Saccharomyces cerevisiae S288C: one gene and its partners. Changing the gene in region 1 together with any one later gene gives a genetic interaction. Each region holds a gene or a part of one and is shown on either strand. Other genes may lie near its edges. The genes, in order: NMD2, PFU1, YVC1 and SRM1.

Evidence for each region.
Region 2: mutations in NMD2 (region 1) and PFU1 together harm fitness more than expected from each alone (negative genetic interaction), as found in Saccharomyces cerevisiae (2 studies listed by BioGRID).
Region 3: mutations in NMD2 (region 1) and YVC1 together harm fitness more than expected from each alone (negative genetic interaction), as found in Saccharomyces cerevisiae (2 studies listed by BioGRID).
Region 4: mutations in NMD2 (region 1) and SRM1 together harm fitness less than expected from each alone (positive genetic interaction), as found in Saccharomyces cerevisiae (2 studies listed by BioGRID).

Annotation. Positions count from the first base shown.
Region 1 is NC_001140.6:250,726-257,960, reverse strand, and holds NMD2 (Nmd2p), read left to right. Parts: upstream 1-2,204; coding exon 2,205-2,210; intron 2,211-2,323; coding exon 2,324-5,587; downstream 5,588-7,235. Other genes in the region: YHR078W (uncharacterized protein), read right to left, coding at 1-1,601; type 2C protein phosphatase PTC7, read right to left, coding at 5,736-6,712, 6,806-6,860. UniProt on the Saccharomyces cerevisiae protein: Involved in nonsense-mediated decay of mRNAs containing premature stop codons. It interacts, via its C-terminus, with NAM7/UPF1.
Region 2 is NC_001136.10:1,072,574-1,078,010, reverse strand, and holds PFU1 (Pfu1p), read left to right. Parts: upstream 1-2,839; coding exon 2,840-4,276; downstream 4,277-5,437. Other genes in the region: PMT7 (putative dolichyl-phosphate-mannose--protein mannosyltransferase), read right to left, coding at 158-2,146; HNT2 (bis(5'-adenosyl)-triphosphatase), read left to right, coding at 4,523-4,609, 4,699-5,265. UniProt on the Saccharomyces cerevisiae protein: Substrate recognition component of a SCF (SKP1-CUL1-F-box protein) E3 ubiquitin-protein ligase complex which mediates the ubiquitination and subsequent proteasomal degradation of target proteins. Probably recognizes and binds to phosphorylated target proteins.
Region 3 is NC_001147.6:485,187-491,323, forward strand, and holds YVC1 (Yvc1p), read left to right. Parts: upstream 1-2,520; coding exon 2,521-4,548; downstream 4,549-6,137. Other genes in the region: TCB1 (tricalbin), read right to left, coding at 1-1,593; Rab family GTPase VPS21, read right to left, coding at 5,010-5,642; type 2C protein phosphatase PTC5, read right to left, coding at 5,937-6,137. UniProt on the Saccharomyces cerevisiae protein: Required for release of calcium ions from the vacuole in response to hyperosmotic shock.
Region 4 is NC_001139.9:319,326-324,564, forward strand, and holds SRM1 (Ran guanyl-nucleotide exchange factor), read left to right. Parts: upstream 1-2,456; coding exon 2,457-3,905; downstream 3,906-5,239. UniProt on the Saccharomyces cerevisiae protein: Guanine nucleotide exchange factor that promotes the exchange of GSP1/GSP2-bound GDP by GTP and controls RNA metabolism and transport. Involved in yeast pheromone response pathway and in mRNA metabolism.

The DNA of each region.
Region 1 (7,235 bases):
AAGGTAAACACACATGCAAAAGCGTAGACTTCATCAAACCAAGAATCTATGACAATGTTTGGGACGGTAAACTTTCCACCCAATAGCTCCTTTAATCTTTGTGATACTTCAAAAGGGAGATGGGACCTAACCATTAGCGTTGTAGCCAAAACGTAGACGCCAGTCAACTCTGACACCACCAGATTTTTTATCAAAGATATTCCTTTTTGTTCCTGAGAATAGTTTCTCTTTTTTCCCTTATAGGAAGAGTTATTGGTGTACTCTGGAAGTACATTAGCAGTGTCATCATTCTGCATGGCGAAAAGTGCAAGAATCTGGAACTTTATGGGCAAAAGGGTCACAACGTAGGAGATGGTGGTATTGACAGCAGAAAGACAGCAAAGAAAGAGAGAAATTGACAAAAATAACGATATCTGTTTTGTTAACGAATCGAGATCGTGCTGGTAATTGAACCTGAAAAACGAAAAATCCAAAATATTTGCTATCGTAATGGCTAAAGGATCGGATGCTGCATTTTCACTAAAATTTTCATAATCGTAGTCATCTGGATATTTGAGCGAGTGGTATATGATATAGGGGATTCTTTTCAGGAAAGTTATTATTAGTTTATGAAGACAGTATATGATAAACCCGACTTCAAAAGCTTTCTTAAAAGTGCGTACCTGAGGGGACTGTTGTAATAATGCTTCCAATTTCCCAAGCTCCAGTTGATACCAGGCGATTTTTTCCATCAACTCTGCTTTAAAAGTTGAGTTTTCTCCGACCTCTTCTTCTAAACTTCTTAATATTTGTACATTTTGTTCAATGTTGTGTTCATAATCTTGGATTTTTTCCTCTATATAGGCGTCTGTTGTCCATAAGAGAGATTTACTGTTATTGTTGCTGTTGTTGATGTTTCTAAAACTGGGGTCTGACATTGGTGTATTACGAAACTTGTGCCAGATGACTAAAAAGTTGTAGTATAAACTAGAAACAGTGGCTAACCCAGATAGGGAAGCCATGACTGTGACGCCTCCGATGGACAATCTAGTTAGAATATTTTTTGTGTACTGGAACGGTCCAATATTTATGTAACTTAACAGCGCAATAAGTGTGGACAAGATTATGCATGTCACTATTATCAACCTATCGATATCGAACTTGTCATTGTAGAATTTATTCAGTAACGATATTATAATGAAAAAGGGCTGAAATAAAATTAGTATGAAGGATAGCATGATTGCAGTCAGAGGCCACACCCAAGTCGTTATGAAAGTAACTTCCTTGTCCATTCCAGCAACCTTAATCTGCCATAGAATAATCTCTATGGTTACTGTATACGTCATCATTGCTAATGAAAAAAGGACTCGCAGTGATTGCAGTACCTTATGTGAGGGTAAAGAATACTCTGTGTAGAATTTATTTATGAAATTACCCATACTAGACACATCCTCATTCGAGCCAACTTCCATTTTGCTTGCCAACGGAATGACATTTTTCTTCGAGGAAGTTGATATAATGTCAAACAAAGACCCTACTTTAAACCAGAGCCTTTCATAGGAGCATTTGTAAGCAAATGCTCCGGATACGGAAAGCACTATAAATACGATAAGTGCCTCCATCCCGTCCACCACTTAGTCTACACTCAATAGTCCTTTCTAGTGCAGGTCCTGGAGGCAACCGCCAGAGTTGAGATCTTTTCCTTTTCTTTCCCTGCTGGTCAATTTTTATTGTTCAGGACTCGGTCATCGCAGATATCGCAATTTTTCACTCGTTTGAGTCTAGACTGTAAAATAAAACCGAATGGTTAAGCTAAAATAGACTCTGTATGACTAAGTCGTTCACTAAAGTTCATTATTTCATGCCTGAATGACCTTTATCTTAATTATGCACCATCATATAGCGTTTCTATGATCACTACGGGATATTATGATATTGTTAGGGGGTTATATTGAATATTTCTTAGGGCATGAGGATGATATTAGGGTTATTAATAGGTTTACAATTATATAATTTATGTGATAATTATCACTTGATACGAATTGATGGAGCCTGCTTCTTTTTTTTTTTTTCACTTTCTTGGCAGTCACTGAAAAACTGCATTCGAATACAGGTTTGAGAAACTAATGAGGCCCATATTACTTTACAATGAACAGTAACAATCAACTTAAATGCTTAAATAATCTAATATTGTATCTGCATTGATAATACATTGGACAGAAATTATGGACGTATGTTTGATTTATCTTACTGTGGCCAGATCGGCCTTTCAGTACTTCTAAGGTTTTATACTAACTTCTTTTATTGATCGTTGTAAACTACGGTAACAATTATGTATCAACAGGATGGACGGAAAAAAGAATTGCATGATTTGAACACCCGAGCTTGGAATGGCGAAGAAGTCTTTCCCCTGAAAAGTAAAAAACTGGATTCCAGTATAAAGAGAAACACTGGCTTTATAAAAAAACTAAAGAAGGGTTTTGTGAAAGGTTCAGAATCTTCATTATTGAAAGATTTAAGTGAGGCGTCCTTGGAAAAGTACCTATCAGAGATAATAGTGACGGTAACAGAATGTCTGCTAAATGTTTTGAATAAAAATGATGACGTAATTGCCGCTGTTGAGATCATAAGTGGACTTCATCAAAGGTTCAATGGCCGATTTACTAGTCCGCTTTTAGGAGCTTTTTTACAAGCTTTTGAGAACCCCTCTGTTGACATTGAATCCGAAAGAGATGAGCTTCAAAGGATAACCAGAGTTAAAGGTAATCTTCGGGTATTTACCGAGCTTTATTTAGTTGGAGTTTTTAGAACATTGGATGATATTGAGTCGAAAGATGCTATTCCAAACTTCCTACAGAAGAAAACTGGGCGAAAGGATCCGTTGTTATTCAGTATTCTCAGAGAGATTCTTAATTATAAGTTCAAATTGGGCTTTACTACCACTATTGCGACCGCATTTATTAAGAAATTTGCACCTTTGTTTCGCGACGATGATAATTCTTGGGATGATTTAATATATGACTCGAAGTTAAAAGGTGCGTTACAGTCTCTGTTTAAGAATTTTATAGACGCCACTTTTGCGAGGGCCACAGAACTGCATAAGAAGGTCAATAAACTGCAAAGAGAACATCAGAAATGCCAAATAAGAACGGGAAAATTGAGAGATGAGTACGTAGAGGAGTACGACAAGTTACTTCCAATATTCATTAGGTTCAAGACATCTGCAATTACTTTGGGAGAATTTTTTAAGTTAGAAATTCCGGAGCTTGAAGGTGCCTCTAATGATGATCTGAAAGAAACAGCTTCTCCAATGATCACGAATCAGATATTGCCACCCAACCAACGATTATGGGAAAATGAAGATACAAGGAAATTTTATGAAATCTTACCAGATATCTCAAAAACAGTAGAAGAATCACAATCTTCTAAAACAGAAAAAGATTCAAACGTTAACTCAAAAAATATCAATCTATTCTTTACGGATTTGGAAATGGCAGATTGTAAAGATATAATCGATGACCTTTCAAATAGATATTGGTCATCATATTTGGACAACAAAGCCACAAGAAATCGAATATTGAAATTTTTCATGGAAACACAAGATTGGAGCAAACTGCCAGTGTATTCCAGATTTATTGCAACAAATAGCAAATATATGCCGGAAATTGTTTCTGAGTTTATTAACTACCTAGACAATGGCTTCAGGAGTCAATTACATTCTAATAAGATTAACGTTAAAAACATCATCTTCTTCAGTGAAATGATTAAATTTCAATTAATACCATCGTTTATGATTTTTCATAAGATTAGAACATTAATCATGTATATGCAAGTTCCAAATAACGTAGAAATTTTGACGGTTTTGTTGGAGCACTCAGGGAAATTTCTGCTAAATAAGCCAGAATATAAGGAATTAATGGAAAAAATGGTCCAACTAATCAAGGATAAAAAAAATGATAGGCAATTGAACATGAACATGAAAAGCGCCTTAGAAAACATAATTACTTTACTTTATCCCCCTTCTGTAAAATCATTAAATGTTACGGTAAAAACAATAACGCCTGAACAACAGTTTTATCGCATATTAATTAGAAGTGAACTAAGTAGCCTAGACTTCAAACACATTGTCAAGTTGGTTCGGAAAGCTCACTGGGACGATGTAGCTATTCAGAAAGTGCTGTTTTCTCTGTTTTCAAAACCACATAAGATTAGCTATCAAAATATTCCCTTATTAACAAAAGTTCTAGGCGGTCTATACAGTTACCGCCGCGATTTCGTCATCAGATGTATAGACCAAGTACTGGAAAACATTGAGCGAGGCTTAGAAATTAACGATTATGGACAAAACATGCATAGAATATCAAATGTCAGATACTTAACTGAAATATTCAACTTTGAAATGATAAAATCCGATGTTTTGTTAGATACTATCTACCACATTATTCGGTTTGGTCATATCAACAATCAACCCAATCCATTTTATTTAAACTACTCAGATCCACCGGATAATTATTTCAGGATTCAACTAGTCACTACAATTCTGTTAAATATCAACAGGACCCCTGCAGCTTTTACTAAGAAATGCAAACTTTTGCTGAGGTTTTTCGAGTATTATACTTTTATTAAAGAACAACCTTTACCCAAGGAAACAGAATTCAGAGTTTCAAGCACATTTAAAAAATATGAGAATATTTTCGGAAACACTAAATTTGAAAGGTCAGAAAATTTGGTAGAAAGTGCCTCAAGGTTGGAAAGTTTACTGAAATCATTAAACGCAATAAAAAGTAAAGACGACAGAGTGAAGGGATCTTCTGCAAGCATTCACAACGGTAAGGAGAGTGCTGTTCCTATCGAGTCAATCACCGAAGATGATGAGGATGAAGATGATGAAAACGACGATGGTGTCGATTTACTAGGAGAAGATGAAGACGCGGAGATAAGTACACCGAACACAGAGTCAGCGCCAGGAAAACATCAGGCAAAGCAAGACGAAAGTGAAGATGAAGACGATGAGGACGATGACGAGGATGATGACGATGACGATGACGATGATGATGATGATGGAGAAGAAGGCGATGAGGATGATGATGAAGATGATGATGATGAGGATGATGATGATGAAGAAGAAGAAGACAGCGACTCTGATTTGGAGTATGGTGGTGATCTTGACGCAGACAGAGATATTGAAATGAAACGAATGTATGAAGAGTACGAGAGAAAACTAAAGGATGAGGAAGAAAGGAAAGCGGAAGAAGAATTGGAAAGGCAATTTCAGAAAATGATGCAAGAATCCATAGACGCAAGGAAAAGCGAAAAGGTTGTTGCCAGTAAAATTCCAGTAATTTCGAAGCCAGTCAGCGTTCAAAAACCTTTATTATTAAAAAAGAGTGAAGAACCTTCTTCAAGCAAGGAGACCTACGAAGAGTTATCCAAGCCAAAGAAGATTGCATTTACGTTCTTGACTAAAAGCGGTAAGAAGACACAATCAAGAATTTTACAATTACCAACGGATGTGAAATTTGTCTCTGATGTCCTTGAAGAAGAAGAGAAACTAAAAACCGAGCGAAACAAGATTAAAAAGATTGTTTTAAAACGTTCTTTCGACTGAGATTCTTTTGCGAATATAGTTCTTTAAATTTTTACTATATATGCCCACTTATGTTTGGCTCTATTAAATGGCTACGTGTTTATATAGTACCGTTTATGACGCTGTATTTTTATTTACACTGCTTTCCAGGAGATTAAAGAGCGGAGTGTTAGTCAACTCTCACGACAACAACAGTTATATCGTCTTCTTTACCACCGCTGTAGTTTTTGCCAGTTAGCTTAGAAATCTCTTGCGCAAAAACACTGGGGTAATTGGGGTCCTTGCTTAAACTGACAACATTGTCCACAAACTTCTGGGATAATAGCTGTAACTCATCGTTTGTTCTCGCAGCGTTATCCTTCAGAAAAAGCTCAATATCATCTGTGGCAATATTATCGGTTACACCATCGGTAGCCAATATAATAATATCCTTTTTTTTCAATTGGAAGCTATATTCATCAGCGTCTCTGGGGGTGTTTAAAATATACTTGCTACCCCTTCTTTCGGCCTCTTTCAACATTTCTTCTGGAATGATTGACAATTGGTAAGGAGCATTAAATCCAACAGTTTGAAACTTTGTCTGGAATACAAGTTTAGAATCTCTGAAGACTCCACACCAAGAATCACCCAAGTTGGCAACTTCCAATTTTCCATTAGATGGGAAGTGAGCCACAATGGCTGTTGTCCCACCAACCTTCACTACTTTCTCATCCCTAATTTTTGCGTATGCAGCACCAATAATTTTCTTTGGCGTTAAAAGCGTTTCTTTGGATGAATTTTCTGCTAAAGCAGTGCTTATTTCGTCCATTTTTTTACACAATTCTCTTGAGATGGCGCTGGAGTCATACCCATGCTCAGCCCATCCTCCAACACCGTCTGCGACACCGGCAAAAATATCGTGAACGTTGTTTGATGTAACAAAATAGTTGTCTTCTCCTGTAGGTGATCTAATAGAATCCTTTAGTTTTTGGTATATCAGATCGTCTCTGTCTTTTGGTTGGAAAGCTACCGCGGTTTTATAGGTGAACGGGCCTGATTGGCTACCTGAACTATACGCATCACCATGACTGTTGTTCGATTGATACCCACTCTTGGCACTTGAGTAAAAAGTCCTCTTGGAAAAGCTGATGATTTGACTGCAGGATCCTATGATATGAGAAAAGTTAGTCTCTGAGTCGATTAGCATTTGTCCCGCAAATTTAGCAATTAGCACACCAATGAATAAAACAATAAACATACCATAAAGGGGACCTCTCGAGACCCTCAAAGTTCTAAATCCAACGTTTGCAAACATTTTTGGTGGCTTTGTCGTTTGTTTTCTGGACCGCTTTTATTGCATGTGTCTTTTACATTTGTTTACTGTCAAAATGAAGCTCGCGTGTAAATTTGTAGATTGATTACAGAAAGATGTAGCTGAAACCAGCCAAGAAAGAACAATTAGCACATCTCATTTTATAGAGCCTCAGTTTCTGTCGTACGACTGTTGCAAAATATGTAGGTGGAAGTGGATTTTTAAATTACGTTTAAAACGTAGATTGCGAGTCACTGAATGGCAGCAAGCTTATTAAAATGATTAATTTCTAATTTTATTGTGATATAGGCAACTTTGGATAGAGGAAACAATGAGCCGTAAGAGTGCTAGTTACTGTTTTCGCACCGCCGCAATCGT
Region 2 (5,437 bases), on another chromosome or scaffold:
GAAATTTGCGAACAGAGGACAGAAAATGTACTATAGTTATATGGCAGAGTTAAGCGTATGTATGTTATTCTTATAAATAATTGTGCTACTCTATTTGTACCGGAGAATTATTGAAGCAATGGGAGAAAAATCATAATGGAGAAAATCTTTCTACGAGTTACTTTGCAAGGCAATCTAACGATTCTAAAAGACACAATACACTAAAGAAAAAACTTTGGAAGTACAGTTTTTTCCCCAAGTTGAAGTGTGGACTCATTGTGAAGATGTAAAAATGTAAAAACCAACCGACAATGCACTCCCAGCCAAATTCATTGTAGACCTCCCATTTGATAGAAAAGGAAGGTTCAGCAGTTGTCCACGGATTCCAAGATATCATTCTCTTACATTGCACGCACATGAAAATGATCATCGAGAGTAAGGATCCATACCATGCAAAATTAAACCAAACTGGAGAGTCTGTGTCTAACGTAATTGGCCATTTTTCCACGGCGAACGCATCTTCAAAAGTGACCTTATTTTTACCGTATTTAATATAGTAATTGTACTTGTATTGTTTGAAAATATATTCTTTGAAAAGATAAAGAAATTGTGACCAAGATAAGGTATGATTGAATTCTGCTGAAGAACTTATTTTGCCGATATAATATTCTATCATTGGGACTTGGAAATCGACTGGTAGTTGTACTGAGTCTATTAGAAAAGTGGTTCTTGGTATTACTGGGTACTCCATACATAGGACTTCTTGCTCAAAGCGGCCCCATTCAGGTAACCGAAGATCATGGCCCAATAGCCCACATCTCTGGCCGTTATTGTAAAAGCGTATCTCTGATTGAAGCGGTTTAATGTATTTATCATCTGCGTTATCCTTTTTATCATTGTTGATTTCATCTTTAATCAGGAGAACATCCCATCTCTCATCCATTCCTCCTTCGTAGTTTGAATCTTTCGTGCATGAAATTTGAAAGTCATAGTCCTGCTCGCTGATGGGAGGTTTAGCAGTGCTGGCTCTCAATAATTTTCCAGTAGATTTGTGTCTTAGTTTTATACTTTGACCAAATTCTACAGGTATCAATTGATCAGCATGGTATACCTCAGAAAAACTCAAATTTAATGTAGGATGTTCTATTAACCATTCATTGTCTGCCGCGAATTCTTCAAATGATAACGCTACTAACTGTTCGTCAACATCTGATGGATACGAAATATCGTGAGAAGCAAGATATCCGACCATAGAATCTAAATGACGTAATGTGATCGTTGATCCATAGTACAATCGACTCGGTTGTACTTGAGGGCCTCTTAAATAGGACTTGAAATATGTGCTCATATATTTTGAAAATTGTGGCGTGTCTGTCTTAAAATTCGAAAGTAAGTTCGAATAACTTATTATGAAGATGGAACCAGGGATAATCAAAACGAATAATAGACAGAGAATGACAAATTTTATTATTTGGATGGTCGTAACTTTAACGTCGCTTATCAGTCTATCAAATTGACGTACAAAAGAAAGAATTACGAAGGCCCAAGTGACAATTCCAATAAATTTAGAAGAGATTGCCAGCCCTAAAGAAATAGATAATGTAATCACATTAGCAAACCAATTCGTAGTTCCCAGTTTTGCAATTGAAATGCTTATAAAACTGTAAATTACTACTGAGAACAGACACCATTCTAAACTGTCAAATGATATAATAGTGCCCTCATTTCTGAAAGTTTCCCAGTTGGATAATATCAGCAAACCTGTTGCTGAAATTAAACGAGAGCAATTGATTCTCCTTGTTATCAGGAAAAGAAAACCTAAAGTCGATGAATTCAAAAACAAAGAAACGTATCTTAAATTTTCTGCGATCTTTAATCTTCGAATAATGGAGTAGAACTGTATTGTAAATGGTGGCAATTCATGGATGTAAAAAGCCTTGTCTAGGTAAAACTGAATTAATTGGGAAAGTTCTTGTTCACTATTATTGTCCCATGGTCGGTTCCAGAATGAAGAAGAGTGCGATTTCCATATTAATGTGAAATTGGTAATAACAATCAAAAACGCGAAAATATAATCAAGCGTCTTTAAGTGACCAATTCCACATTGTTGGAAAATATTATAGGGAATGTACTTTCTGTAGGGCCCCTGTAATCTCAAGTCCTTCATGTTTTGTAAGTTAATTTTTTTCTGTTCAAACACTATCGCCCTTAAGTGTCTACGTTCTTATTCTCCTTAAATAATAACATTTTTAGTATTCGATTTTCTATTTTTCCTTTCTTCATTACTTCATTACCAAAGTAAGAGTGACCGATGTAGGAAGCAATATTGAAAGGAAGGGAAGGGGAGCACAATGAAACAAAGGGTTAGTGTGATGAAAACGACAGGAAGTAACTATAAGAAGCAGTAAAGTTGAGACTTGCTGCACCATTTTTATTGCCACACCTTTATTAGTTCTTTATGAATCCTAAGCTGTCATCCGTAATATTGTTCCAATAGTGTAGCGGCTATCACGTTGCCTTCACACGGCAAAGGTCCCGAGTTCGATCCTCGGTTGGAACATTTGTTTTTTCACTACTACTATATTTTTAGTTGAATCCTAGGCCACATTTAATTGACTAATAGACTTAAGATCGAGATTAGTAATCTTCTGACTTTTTTCTACTGTGTAATTGTTGAATGATAGTCTCTATTTTATTGTTAAAGCCCTGCGGCCGGGTTACCTCTTCATGAGGGGTAAGGGTTGTCAATACAAGATGTGTCTAGTATTGAGAGTAATATGACGGCATCGTCAAGATTTGTACATCGACAAACATGTGCAACAGCTCTAACACATAATCATATCAACCACAGTACTCAGTAATGGCAAACAAATCACGACCCAAGAAAATCAAGGCTCCTTACAGGAAGTACGTGGCGGGAGAGGGTTTCTCCTCTACAAGAAATGATAATAAGGCTAAAGAATTCACTATCACTATACCGGAGGATGCAGAACTCATTGAGACTCCACAGGGGTCTTATTACTATGATGAAACCAATGATACTATAGTGAAATTGACACGACTGAGTAATGAAAAAAAGGATAAAAAAGGACGTAAGCAGTCGCCATCGTCATCATCGACATCGTCCTCCAAAGGAGAAAAAAATGGCAAAGTCATAGAGAGTGAGGAAGCGAGGATGCATTCAGTATCAGTAAAGATGGTTTTGCCATGGGAGATACAGCATAGAATAATTCATTATCTTGATATACCAGAGAAAGAAGAAAAATTAAATAAAACTGCTAATGGAAAAAAAACTACGACTGGTATAAATATGAACTACTTACTAGTTTGCAGAAACTGGTACGCCATGTGTCTACCAAAGCTTTATTATGCACCAGCGTTAACAAGTAAGAATTTCAACGGGTTTGTTGATACAATAATCATAAATAAAAAGAAGAATTTAGGACACTATGTTTTTGAGTTGAACTTGTCTACAATTTTACAAAGTGGTAGAAATTCATTTGTCTCCAAGCTTTTACGACGATGCTGTTCTAACCTAACTAAATTCATCGCACCACAGACAAGCTTTGGTTACGCGCCTTTGATTTCATTGAAATCGTGTCATGATTTGAAATTTTTAGACTTGGGTTTAGTATCGGAAACAGTTAAGCTGAAGGAGTTATTTTCTGCCATTAAAAATTTCACTAAATTAACGCATTTATCTTTTCCCAGATCGTCGATTGACTGCCAAGGGTTCCAAGATATTCAATGGCCACAGAATCTCAGGTACTTGAAATTGAGTGGAGGTATAACAAATGAATTTGTGATTGATACGAAATGGCCAACAACTATTACAACTTTAGAATTCTCTTATTGTCCTCAAATAACGGAATTGTCTATTTATTCGTTGTTATCACAGATCGGTGATAATTTAAAGCATTTATTTTTTCATTATCCGATGCCATCTCTGGCAGAAAATTCCCTAGACCATGTCTTCACGTACTGTGCTAATTTAATTTCTTTGCAGCTCATGGTTGATTACTGTTCTAAGTGGTGCTTTTCTGAATTCATGCTAAGTAAATTGGTGGAATATGATAGGCCTCTTAAAACATTGTACTTAGAATGCAGCGGATCCTTGGGATTAGCTTCTAAGATTCATCCCGATGACTTGACTATAGCCATACTGGAATCCAGGCTGCCCTGCCTAAAGAATATTTGTGTTTCTCCCAAGCTGGGGTGGAACATGAAAAGCGATGAAGTCGCTGATTTGGTAGTCTCTTTGGAAGATCAAGATGGCAGTTTATATCTTAATTATTAAAATGTTCATTGTTTGTTTTATAAGAGTCAGTGTTTTCTTTTAGACACTATTAGGAAGAATTATTTTATCCGGCCTAAAAAAAATATTTTACATGCAAACTTGCATATATTTTGCCATTGACACCAATTAGAATGTGTAATTTTCCTGGTTTATACGTTTCTCAAGATATGGTCGAATCTTCTTTTCTGCTCAATTGTAAGAAGCGAAGAAAAAAAGGAAGCTCCATTGATCTATCTTGGGCTCAGAATGATCTTAAGCAAAACAAAGAAACCTAAAAGCATGAATAAGCCAATATATTTCAGCAAGTTTCTTGTAACTGAACAAGTTTTCTATGTATGCACTCTCATATGTTTTTTTGTACCCCATTCGCACCATTGCGTTACTAACTATATGGAGACCTTATAATCTCTGCTTCTTTACAGAAGTCAAAATATACGTATGCATTGGTAAACTTGAAACCAATTGTACCCGGACATGTACTGATCGTTCCACTGAGAACTACGGTTTTAAACTTATCAGATCTGACCATGCCTGAATCTCAAGATTATTTCAAGACTTTACAGTTAATACATAGATTTATTAAGTGGCAATATAAGGCTGACTCTATCAACGTTGCCATCCAAGATGGACCTGAGGCCGGACAGTCGGTACCCCACTTGCATACACACATTATTCCACGTTATAAAATAAACAATGTAGGGGATTTAATATACGATAAATTAGATCATTGGGATGGTAATGGGACTTTGACTGATTGGCAAGGAAGAAGAGACGAATATTTGGGTGTTGGTGGTAGGCAAGCAAGAAAAAATAACTCTACATCGGCCACTGTAGACGGGGATGAACTCTCACAAGGTCCTAATGTCTTGAAGCCAGACAGTCAAAGGAAGGTTCGAGCTTTAACCGAAATGAAAAAAGAAGCTGAGGATCTTCAAGCCAGACTAGAAGAATTTGTATCTTCTGATCCTGGTTTAACACAATGGTTATAGTTCAATAAATAATAGATTCATACTTACGATATAAAAAATAGTAGGGAAGTTAATTTTCGTTTCGCAGCGAATCCCTTTTAGCAGAGGAAAAAAAAGATGAAACCATCCTTACTACTTTCCTCGAGGAGACTCAACAGTAAAGGTTACTTTCAATTCAATAAACAAAAGGCAC
Region 3 (6,137 bases), on another chromosome or scaffold:
AGCAATACCAGTATTCAAATCCGGTAGTTCCTCCACAGATCCATCCGGCAACTTTTTCTCTTCTAAAGTTGGGAAGAATCTTAAATCAAAAGTCAATTCCCCAACCGGTTTAGAGTTTCTTAAAAACTGAGCTTTCAAGTTTCTTTGCGTGGTTTTATCATGTAAAGTATTCAAGTTGTACTGAATTCTGCCTAGGACTTTATCCTTCAATTTTGCACGCTTATCATAAACACTAATGGTCAAGGGGTCAGTGAATGAGTTTAACAAGACGTACAGAGTTTCGTCCCAAACGGGGTTCAATGTGTCTCTTACGGTTCTTGTCTTGGCAATAGATATATCGTTAAATTCGAAAGATAAGTAAGGGTCGATTGATTCGTTCAATATCGAAGAGGTACGTTTTAGCCCCTTTGCATTTTTGACAGTTATTTCTAATATACCAATGGACAAGTTGGAACCAGATAAGAGTTGTGGAATGTTCAATTGTAAAGAAAATGGAGGTAACAAGATTGGACCCATATATTTCTTGGCCATCTTTTGTATTAGTGTCATAAGGCCTGGGATAGCTAAAATTTCCCAATTGAAGATGGAACGGCCGAATAAGGTAGCAACAAAATCAAAATCAGGAACCTTCAGTAGCTGGATATTAACAGTTTCGACATGAGGGAAGGGAGTCATCAATTTGAATTTCACTCTAGCATGAGCCTTGAAAGCAATGTCTGACACAGAAACAGGGATGGTGATACCAAAAATTTTGGCCTTAACAACCGCTAATTCATTAACGTAATTTCTGACTTGCTTAGCACTCATGTCGCATAAATCGTGAGGAGTAAAAGAAATACCCCAGTCCATCACAACAACATCGGATGCAGTGTTTTGGAAAGTCTTCACCAAATCAACTCTGGGGGGTTTAACACCAAGTGTCAACTCATCGATCCATAGTTGAGTAATAAATTTGGGAATCGCCTCATTAGTAGCCATTTGTTCATTAGCTTGCTGAACGATTAATTGACTAACGGAAGGTTCTAAAATGGGCCAGTACTTATCCAAAAAGGCATTCAACCATTCTAGGGATTCATAGTCGTTTTCCACTTTCTGCACCGTGAACTCTTTCTGGACTAACTCTCTTATGGAACCTCTGTATTTTTTAGCAGAGGTTCTATACAACAATGAAGTGATAACGATGACAAAAAAGGCCGACCCCATTGAAAACTTATAATGACCAAGTGCAAATGATGCCACGCCTCCGATAAAGAAAATGGCTACCGAATGATACCAGTCACCGTAAAGGCTGTCCGGTATGATGTTATCTAAGAAGGTTTCTCTAGTCATATCCATCAATTCATCATCTAAAGTTAATTCGTCTTTGTCTTCCCAGCCACCAATCTGTTTCCAGCCGACATAAGAAGCTTCATGGATACTTCTCTTGAAGCTTTCATCACTAGCATGTGCCGCCTTCTCAGATGACACGCTTTTACTGGATTCGGTTTCCTCTTTCGTCTTTGGAGGTTCTAACTTATCTATCCCATTTATGTTAGCTACTTGGGCTGTTTCGGGCTTCTTTGGTGCTGTTACCCCAGTATCTTCTTTGGCCATATTGTATGTACCACGCAATTGAAGTTTTCAGAATGCACTAGCTATCTTTTTTTATCTTAGCTATTCTTCTTCAATTATCCTACTTATTCTTCAGCAAAAAAAAAATAATAAGCTAAGACAATGCTATACAAGTCAATTACCAGCCAGTAAGTCCAAATTGGAGTAGCCAATGCTATTAGTTGATAATTTTGACGGCCGATTATACTATTCCAATTGCAGCAACATCCCTGTCCCTTAGCTTTTTGAGGGGCCTTTTGTTATAATTTTTCATGCAGCATTCCGGTCGCCAAAGTTGTTATCACTTCTAACGTAAATCGTTTTCTCGTTATGTCCGCTATTTTAGAATGAGAATAATGGATAAAATTGGCCTAAAAAGGGAGCGAGTATAACGTTACTGAGATACAATTGTACATTTTGCCATGGAAATGAGCCAACTAGTCTAATGAGATTTTCAATGCTTTATTTCTTTTTTTAGTTTCTCATTTTATTGTTTCTCTAGTTATTAGTCCTTTGGTTATTTTTATGTCACCACCTCTTGTCACATGACCATTTTTGTTACTTGCTTGGTTTTACAATGATTTATACATTCTTGGGCCTCTCTTGACATATTTTTATCGTCATAATAAGTTCTTCATTCGTTCTCTAAAACAACAAAGTTAGACTCCATGGCCAAGTTGGTTAAGGCGTGCGACTGTTAATCGCAAGATCGTGAGTTCAACCCTCACTGGGGTCGTTAATTTTTTAATTTTTCTCCTACACTGTTGCTATGTCGGAGTTATCTCATAAGAGCTGAAAATATGTGGTAAATTTAGTCAGTATCCTTCGAGGATCAGCTAGAGCCTATTCAATGCAATTGTCATTAATCAGTGGCTTGGTAAGGCAATAGAATTCAGTTATAAAATATAATATTACTAGAACAGGAGCATTATGGTATCAGCCAACGGCGACTTGCACTTGCCAATTTCTAACGAACAGTGCATGCCGGAAAACAATGGATCTCTTGGATTTGAGGCCCCCACTCCGAGACAGATTCTCAGGGTTACGTTAAATTTGAAATACTTAATTGATAAGGTCGTACCTATTGTTTACGATCCCAATGATATTGTTTGTGACCATTCTGAGATTTTATCTCCAAAAGTTGTGAAGCTGGCTTATGAAGCATGTGGCGGGAACCCTAAAGACAAGGCCAACAAAAGAAAATATCAATCTGTCATTATTTTTTCACTTCTTAAAGTTTGTGAGTGGTATTCCATATTGGCCACTATGGAAGTGCACAATGCCAAACTTTACGAAACCAGAAATTTAGCCTCACAACAGTTATGTAAATTGTTAATTGAAAGGGAGGAGACAAGAGACCTGCAGTTTCTTTTCATGCAGTTACTGCTGCGTCGGTACGTAATCAACGAGAACGATGAAGATCAAGAACCGTTGAATGCCTTGGAACTTGCCACAGATATGCACTGTACTACAGTGATAGGATCGAGTGGATTTCAGCGTTGTTTAAAATGGATATGGAGAGGATGGATAGTCCAAAATGGCTTGGATCCCACAACTTTTATCAAGGACGATTCACTGGCGGAAGTGTCATTGATCTCTCATTTCAACCCCGTAAGATTAAAGGCGCCTGTATACCAAAATTATTTGCAGATGATCTTCTCATTTTTGTTTCTAGGGCTTTATACCTTGGTGGTTAATGGTAAGGACTCTGAGAGAGTCCAATCTTTCGATTTGTTAGAAAGCATATTTTATGTTTTCAATACTGGTTTCATCTTGGATGAGCTCACTAAGCTTTATTATATTGGTTATGCGCACCTATCGTTTTGGAATTTATTTAATGATACCACATATTTGATAATCACGTTTGCTATGGGGTTCCGTGCAATGAGCGTAACGCCCCTTAATGCAAAATACTCTTCAGAAGATTGGGATAAAATATCATATAGAGTCTTATCCTGTGCAGCACCATTTGTGTGGTCGAGACTCCTACTATACCTTGAATCACAAAGGTTTATTGGGATTATGTTGGTTATCCTAAAACATATGATGAAAGAATCCATTGTATTTTTCTTCCTTCTATTCTTAATAATGATAGGATTCACTCAAGGTTTCTTAGGTTTGGATTCCGCAGATGGTAAGAGAGATATCACCGGACCCATCCTGGGTAATTTAACAATCACCGTTTTGGGTCTTGGTAGTTTTGATGTTTTCGAAGAATTCGCTCCCCCATATGCGGCAATACTGTATTATGGTTACTATTTTATTGTTTCGGTTATCCTTTTGAATATATTAATTGCTTTGTATTCGACTGCGTACCAAAAAGTTATTGACAATGCAGATGACGAGTACATGGCTTTGATGTCACAAAAGACGTTGAGATACATTAGAGCACCTGATGAAGATGTCTATGTTTCTCCATTGAACTTAATTGAAGTGTTCATGACACCTATCTTTCGTATTCTTCCACCGAAGCGTGCTAAAGATTTGAGCTATACTGTAATGACAATAGTGTACAGCCCATTTTTGTTGCTTATTTCTGTTAAAGAAACTCGGGAGGCTAGAAGGATAAAATATAACAGGATGAAAAGGTTAAACGATGATGCCAATGAATATGATACTCCATGGGATTTGACAGATGGCTACTTGGATGATGATGACGGTTTGTTTTCTGATAACCGAAATTCTGGCATGAGAGCCACCCAGTTAAAGAATTCCCGTTCGCTAAAACTGCAAAGAACAGCAGAGCAGGAAGATGTCCATTTTAAAGTCCCTAAGAAGTGGTATAAAAACGTTAAAAAATGCAGTCCCTCCTTCGAACAGTATGATAACGATGACACTGAAGATGATGCTGGTGAAGATAAAGATGAAGTCAAAGAGCTCACTAAGAAAGTGGAAAACTTGACAGCTGTAATTACCGATCTACTCGAAAAATTAGACATAAAGGATAAGAAAGAGTAAACGACATGTGTTCAAATACTGCTTAATTAATTTCTCAGAAATCCATATATATATATATATATTGCTCCTCATTGCAACTTTGTAAATTTAATGTTCCTTTAATTTATCATTATTTACAATATTAACTAATCCATCTCCCGATTTTCGGCATAAAATAAGTTTATATTTTGGTCTACATGAAAACAAAAGTTTAACTAAACTAACGTGTACAAACCACTTTGAAACGTATATAAAGGTCTAATAAAAACGACTGGCGTTTTGAAAGATAATATAATGATCTAATGCAGTTAAAAAATTTACAAATTATAAGAAGAAAAGAAAAACAACGATTACGGTAAAAAATGAAAACTCCCTCTCCTTTCTAGGTACGATAAATTATGACTTTCATCTTTCCCGTTTTGAAGATCTATTTATCTCAATTTGCCCAGACTTTTTTTTTATATATATTTATTTTCCCCTCTCTAACAACTGCAAGCACTGTTTGCGCTGGTCCCATCATTAGCAGCGTTCAAATCCACTCTTTGATTGTTCGACTCACGTTCGTTACTTGCACTATTTTGCTCTTCAGCCGTCTTCAGTGGTATCTTTTCACCGATTCCCAAAAATACATCGTTAACATTCTCTCCTGTCTTTGCACTTGTTTCAAAGAACAACAAGCCCTTTTCTTCCGCTAGCTTTTCACCTTCTTCCCTTGCGACTTTTCTTTCCCCACCTTCTTGCAGCATATCGATCTTGTTACCAACTAACGCAATGATGATATCCTTTGATGCCTGTTCATGTAATTCCTTAACCCAGTGGCGCGCTTTAATAAAGGATTGTGGTTTTGTAACGTCGTATACTACAAGAGCAGCTTGTGCGTTTCTATAGTACATAGGTGCTAAAGATGCAAATCTCTCTTGCCCAGCAGTGTCCCATATTTCAAACTTAACAGTATGTTCATTTATAGTAACTCTTTGAGTGAGGAATGCTGCACCAATGGTGGGCTCCTTATTTTCGGCAAAATCATTAGATACAAACCTTAGGACTATTGACGATTTACCAACTGCTGCCTCACCCAACAGTACCAACTTTATGGAAGTGACTGATGTGTTCATTTTTTTGTGTGATAAAAGGGATATTTTTTTATAGCTTAGATAAGTCGACGATCTTGCTTTTTATTTTTAAAATCGTTGCCACTTTTATAAGATAAGCTGCTCGTATTTTCACCTCACTTCTCTTTCTTTGTCTTTTCGGGGATATTGTTTTAGCAAAAAGCCCCATAATGCAAACCGAGAAAACCAAAAAAAAAAAAAACACGTATGAGGTGACAAGAAACTAGATAATCAGCAGACTAATATCTATAAAATAAATCCTCTGGTATATACCTACCTCAGCATAAGTTTATATCGTCATAATCTAGGTTTTGGCTTTGTTGTTGCCTCCGGGTTCATAACTATTGAAGTAGCATTGGAGACAATTGAGGGTGTTCCAGAATCACCAAAGAACGCCACTGTTACTGTCAAGTCATCTCTGTATCTTCTACTCATCGGCGATGGTATACTTACCAATGCCGATACATATTCTTTTCTTCCGCCCGCACTTAATGCATT
Region 4 (5,239 bases), on another chromosome or scaffold:
AAGTTTCATTCTAACAATTACCACCCATTCCAAAATATCTATTGTTAGAGAGGCGTTAATAGAACAACACAACACAAAAATACTGAAGGTCAAAGTTTGTTGTATTACGGGCTCGAGTAATACCGGAGTGTCTTGACAATCCTAATATAAACGGTCTTAGGGAAGTAACCAGTTGTCAAAACAGTTTATCAGATTAATTCACGGAATGTTACTTATCTTATATATTATATAAAATATGAATCATATTAAGTGGTGGAAGCGCGGAATCTCGGATCTAAACTAATTGTTCAGGCATTTATACTTTTGGTAGTTCAGCTAGGGAAGGACGGGTTTTATCTCATGTTGTTCGTTTTGTTATAAGGTTGTTTCATATGTGTTTTATGAACGTTTAGGATGACGTATTGTCATACTGACATATCTCATTTTGAGATACAACAAAGTTCATAAAGAAATTAGCCATCTTAGTATAGTGGTTAGTACACATCGTTGTGGCCGATGAAACCCTGGTTCGATTCTAGGAGATGGCATTTTTTCCGAAATTTCGCCTTCTCGCACAACTTTCCAAACCCGACCAAGAGAAGGAAGAAATCATTTTTTTTGTTGCGAGTTGTCATAGAACGAGGTCGAGAAACAGAAGAGGAATTGAAAATGAATTGTAAAAGCGTTCGTTCTATGCCTCTAATAAGAGAGTACGTCTTGCTTGATGTGAACCCAAATGCCCACAAAACAGTACGATTTGCAGTTATGTAAATTTGTGGTTTGTCTCCTGGCAAAAAGAATGCATTCGTACTGCACATAATTGAAATAAGGATGTAGTTCAACTTCTATGAATGCTCGGCGATACGATATGTAGAGGGGACAAAAATATGTAGGTATCCTATGGTAAATAAATCGGTCTGTTTTAAAACCTGTTTTAGTGCAGCTTCTTTCCACGAAAGAAATAGTGTAAGTTAGAGGTACTTCTCTTTTACCTAAAGGAGGTGTAGTTATGATAAAAAGCGAAGCTAACTAAGACAGCTAAGCTCTTTATGTTGATAGTTAAAAGTTAACAGGTTGTATTAATGAAGAATGAATATGGATCTTTTTGTACTTATATAACAGAGGTATAAACCACATGCCGATTGTTTCATTATTATATATGGCTAATATAATGGTGATTCCGGCAGCTTCATACATTTAATGTGACGACTCATATTGCTCTTATATGTGACTTTCAGATCTCATTCAATTAATAGACTCTTAACTCAAATTCAGTACTTTCTGACATGCTCATTTACATTTCCTTTTGTAATAGTGCTTCCATACTTCATCGTATAGGATTTAAACATTTAGATCGTTACCATAGTAACTCATGTTACTATTAAATACCGCTCGTTTCAACACATTATATAATACTTTGGCATTGATACGCCACATAATATTCTAATTTCTCTTCAACACATAAGACAAACAGGGCAAATCAAGCAACAGGAAGGTATTTGCTTCTTAATGGCAAAACAGGTTCAGTTCCACTAAATAAAAAGGGGAAATTTACGTGTCATTTATTATGGGTTCAGAAATTATGTGTTAAGTAAAACACCTATAGCACTGGGGCAAATTCCGGCATCAATTTCAACGCCACCAAAATTGTGTGCGATAATAATTGTGACCCCATCATGGAAATGAGCCTTCAGCCAGAGACGGAAAAACTCTTGAAAGGAATACTGATGGATTTATAGGTTCGGAAAATAATAATAATAAAAAGCCGTGTTGGACATTATCCCTCCCGTTGCTCGCGGTAAATTCTTAAGGCCATATTTCAGGTAGGAACCATCGTCAACAATTGCTACAACGTTTTGTAGTCCCCAAGATTGAAATACAATAGCAGTTGAAAGAGAACTACCTAAGATAATTCAATGAGGCAATTACTGATTATTCCTGACAGAGTGTAAAATATTTGCAAGTAAGAGAATCGGAACAGAAAATTTAGATATTATGAGAGTCTTCCCTCGGCAGTAACGATATAAAGCCAATCTGTATTCCAGTGTCCTGCCATTCTGGTTCTTTAAAAACTCACTTCCAAGATAGTATAATCCGAGACTCTAAAGAAAAGGACACTTGCTTTTAATGGACAGAGGAACACCGCATACTCTAAAGTAGAGAGCACCGATATCAAGAGTTACATATATATATATATATATATTGTTTGCTTCCGACAGAGATAGCTATCTAGCAATTCCCTTCTTTTTCAATCGTTGGGCGGCTAAAAGTAGCAGGGTTTCGCGAGGACCTCTCGAAGGACAAACAATATTCATTACCCGCACAAATAAAATTTCAAAAAAACAAAAAAGCACGGGAGAGGCAAGGCAGGATGAATAAAATCACCGATCTCGAGAATATTAAAAGTCATCAAGACATCCTCTTTAAGTCAAATCCTGGATCCAGAAACTTAAAAAGTTGTCATATAAAAGTTTAAAATGGTCAAAAGAACAGTCGCCACCAATGGAGACGCGTCTGGCGCTCATAGAGCAAAGAAAATGTCTAAAACTCATGCTTCTCATATCATAAACGCTCAAGAAGACTACAAGCATATGTACTTAAGTGTCCAACCATTGGATATATTTTGCTGGGGTACTGGTTCTATGTGTGAGCTTGGGTTGGGTCCACTAGCCAAAAATAAGGAAGTTAAAAGACCAAGGTTAAACCCATTTTTACCTCGCGATGAGGCCAAGATCATTTCTTTTGCAGTCGGTGGTATGCACACCTTAGCCCTTGATGAAGAAAGCAATGTATGGTCCTGGGGTTGCAATGACGTGGGTGCGTTGGGCAGAGATACTTCCAACGCCAAGGAACAACTCAAGGACATGGACGCCGATGACTCAAGTGATGACGAAGATGGTGATTTGAACGAATTGGAATCTACGCCCGCTAAAATCCCAAGAGAGTCATTTCCTCCCTTAGCGGAGGGACACAAGGTCGTGCAATTGGCAGCTACAGACAATATGAGTTGCGCCCTGTTCAGCAATGGCGAGGTATACGCATGGGGTACTTTCCGTTGCAATGAAGGTATCCTAGGGTTTTACCAAGATAAAATTAAAATTCAAAAAACTCCATGGAAAGTGCCTACATTCTCTAAGTACAATATTGTCCAATTAGCTCCCGGTAAGGATCACATACTTTTCTTAGATGAAGAGGGTATGGTGTTCGCCTGGGGTAACGGTCAGCAAAACCAATTAGGAAGAAAAGTTATGGAAAGGTTCCGTTTAAAGACTTTGGATCCCAGACCATTTGGGTTAAGACATGTAAAATACATCGCATCTGGCGAAAACCATTGCTTTGCTTTAACAAAAGACAACAAGTTAGTAAGCTGGGGGTTGAATCAGTTTGGTCAATGTGGTGTTTCAGAGGATGTGGAAGACGGTGCGCTTGTTACAAAGCCAAAAAGACTAGCGCTACCTGATAACGTTGTTATCAGAAGCATTGCTGCTGGTGAACATCACTCATTGATCCTATCCCAAGATGGCGATTTGTATTCGTGTGGTAGACTAGACATGTTTGAAGTTGGTATCCCAAAAGACAATTTACCCGAATATACTTACAAAGATGTTCATGGAAAAGCACGTGCCGTGCCACTTCCAACTAAGTTGAATAATGTTCCGAAGTTCAAAAGCGTTGCGGCGGGGTCTCACCATTCAGTCGCGGTAGCTCAAAATGGCATTGCCTATTCTTGGGGTTTTGGTGAAACCTACGCCGTTGGATTAGGCCCTTTTGAGGACGACACTGAAGTTCCAACCAGAATCAAGAATACTGCTACACAGGATCATAACATCATTTTAGTCGGGTGTGGAGGCCAATTTTCCGTGTCTGGTGGTGTTAAGCTGTCTGATGAGGACGCAGAAAAGAGAGCGGATGAAATGGATGATTAAGGTAGTAGTACAAAGATAAATAAAAGAAAATCGACATAATGCACCTCAGTATAAATTGTAAAATATAACATAAATCAAAGAAAAACGAGAAAACGATATGATTATCCGATACCGACAAATTCTCATGTTTATTTTTTTTTTTTTTTTTTTTTTTTTTTAATTTTTCTTGGGCCTTTACATTGAGTACAGGGGCATAAGTGCGAGGAGTTACCAGACGACAACTAGCAGGCGGATGAAATCAACACTGAGTAAGTATTATGTAATCCATCCGCTCGTCCAGCCCTTCAGGTTCTTCCTCTTCTGCACGTTTCTCTAGTAATGAACTTTCTAAGGAATTTAATCGGATTTTTTGAGAAAAACGGAGAAAAATTAAAAATGTGCCAAGACACCAGCAACAGGCAAAGCAAAGGATAAACTTCCGGTGAACATGTTAGCACGGAAAAATTCATTGCTCTCTCTAACCGCGACAAATTACCTATCGTATTTTAACTTTCTTCAACAGCATTATGGAAAATGCATACCGGAGATTGCTCATACAGACCATAAAAACAACAGAAAGTCTTGTGAGGAAGATAAGCAAGCACGGTAGGTAAACCAGATATGCACATAAATTACCGCTGACTCTCCCCTAAAAGAACTATATTGATGGTCTGACATATAAGGCACCGCTGAAAAGCATGTACAATTTTAATGTCTTTGCATTTGCATAGTCAGTGTGGCGTGCATTCTCCACAGAATCTAACTAATCAAATGTATCGTGACTGGGTGTTGCATCATTTTCGCGAATAAAAAATAGAACACTGTAGAGTAGCGCAGCGCTTTTTTTTTATTGAGGCCCTTTGCAGAACCAAGGCTGCAGTCTTTTCTCTGAAGATTAGCTTTGCTAATATAAACAAATCCGTTAAGTTCTTGGGAATTTCTTTGAAGGGGGGGAGGCGGAAATGTAGTGAGTTGTTTTTACTGTGATTTGCTTTTTCTTTCGCTCATGGCTTATTTTCCTTTCCTTTTCTTCCCACATTCAATAATGCAGCGTAAATATAGAACAAGATTACTTGTTTATACGAGATATACGGGCAGTGAATAAAGTGGTACTAGAACTAATTATCAAAAAGAGTAACTGTCATTCAACATTTCTGGCTCTAGACCCAATAGGACATAAACTTTTAGATTTTTGAAAAATGGCTTGGCGCAGCACGGTAATACTAGTTGGTTTTTTAAGCCTACTTTCGCCAATAAAAAAAACTACGAAACAGTTCTTACTTACCAATATCCCCTGCCACTACACTGTACTTTAGTGAACCCAACATCACGAATAAGAAACAATAAACAATAAA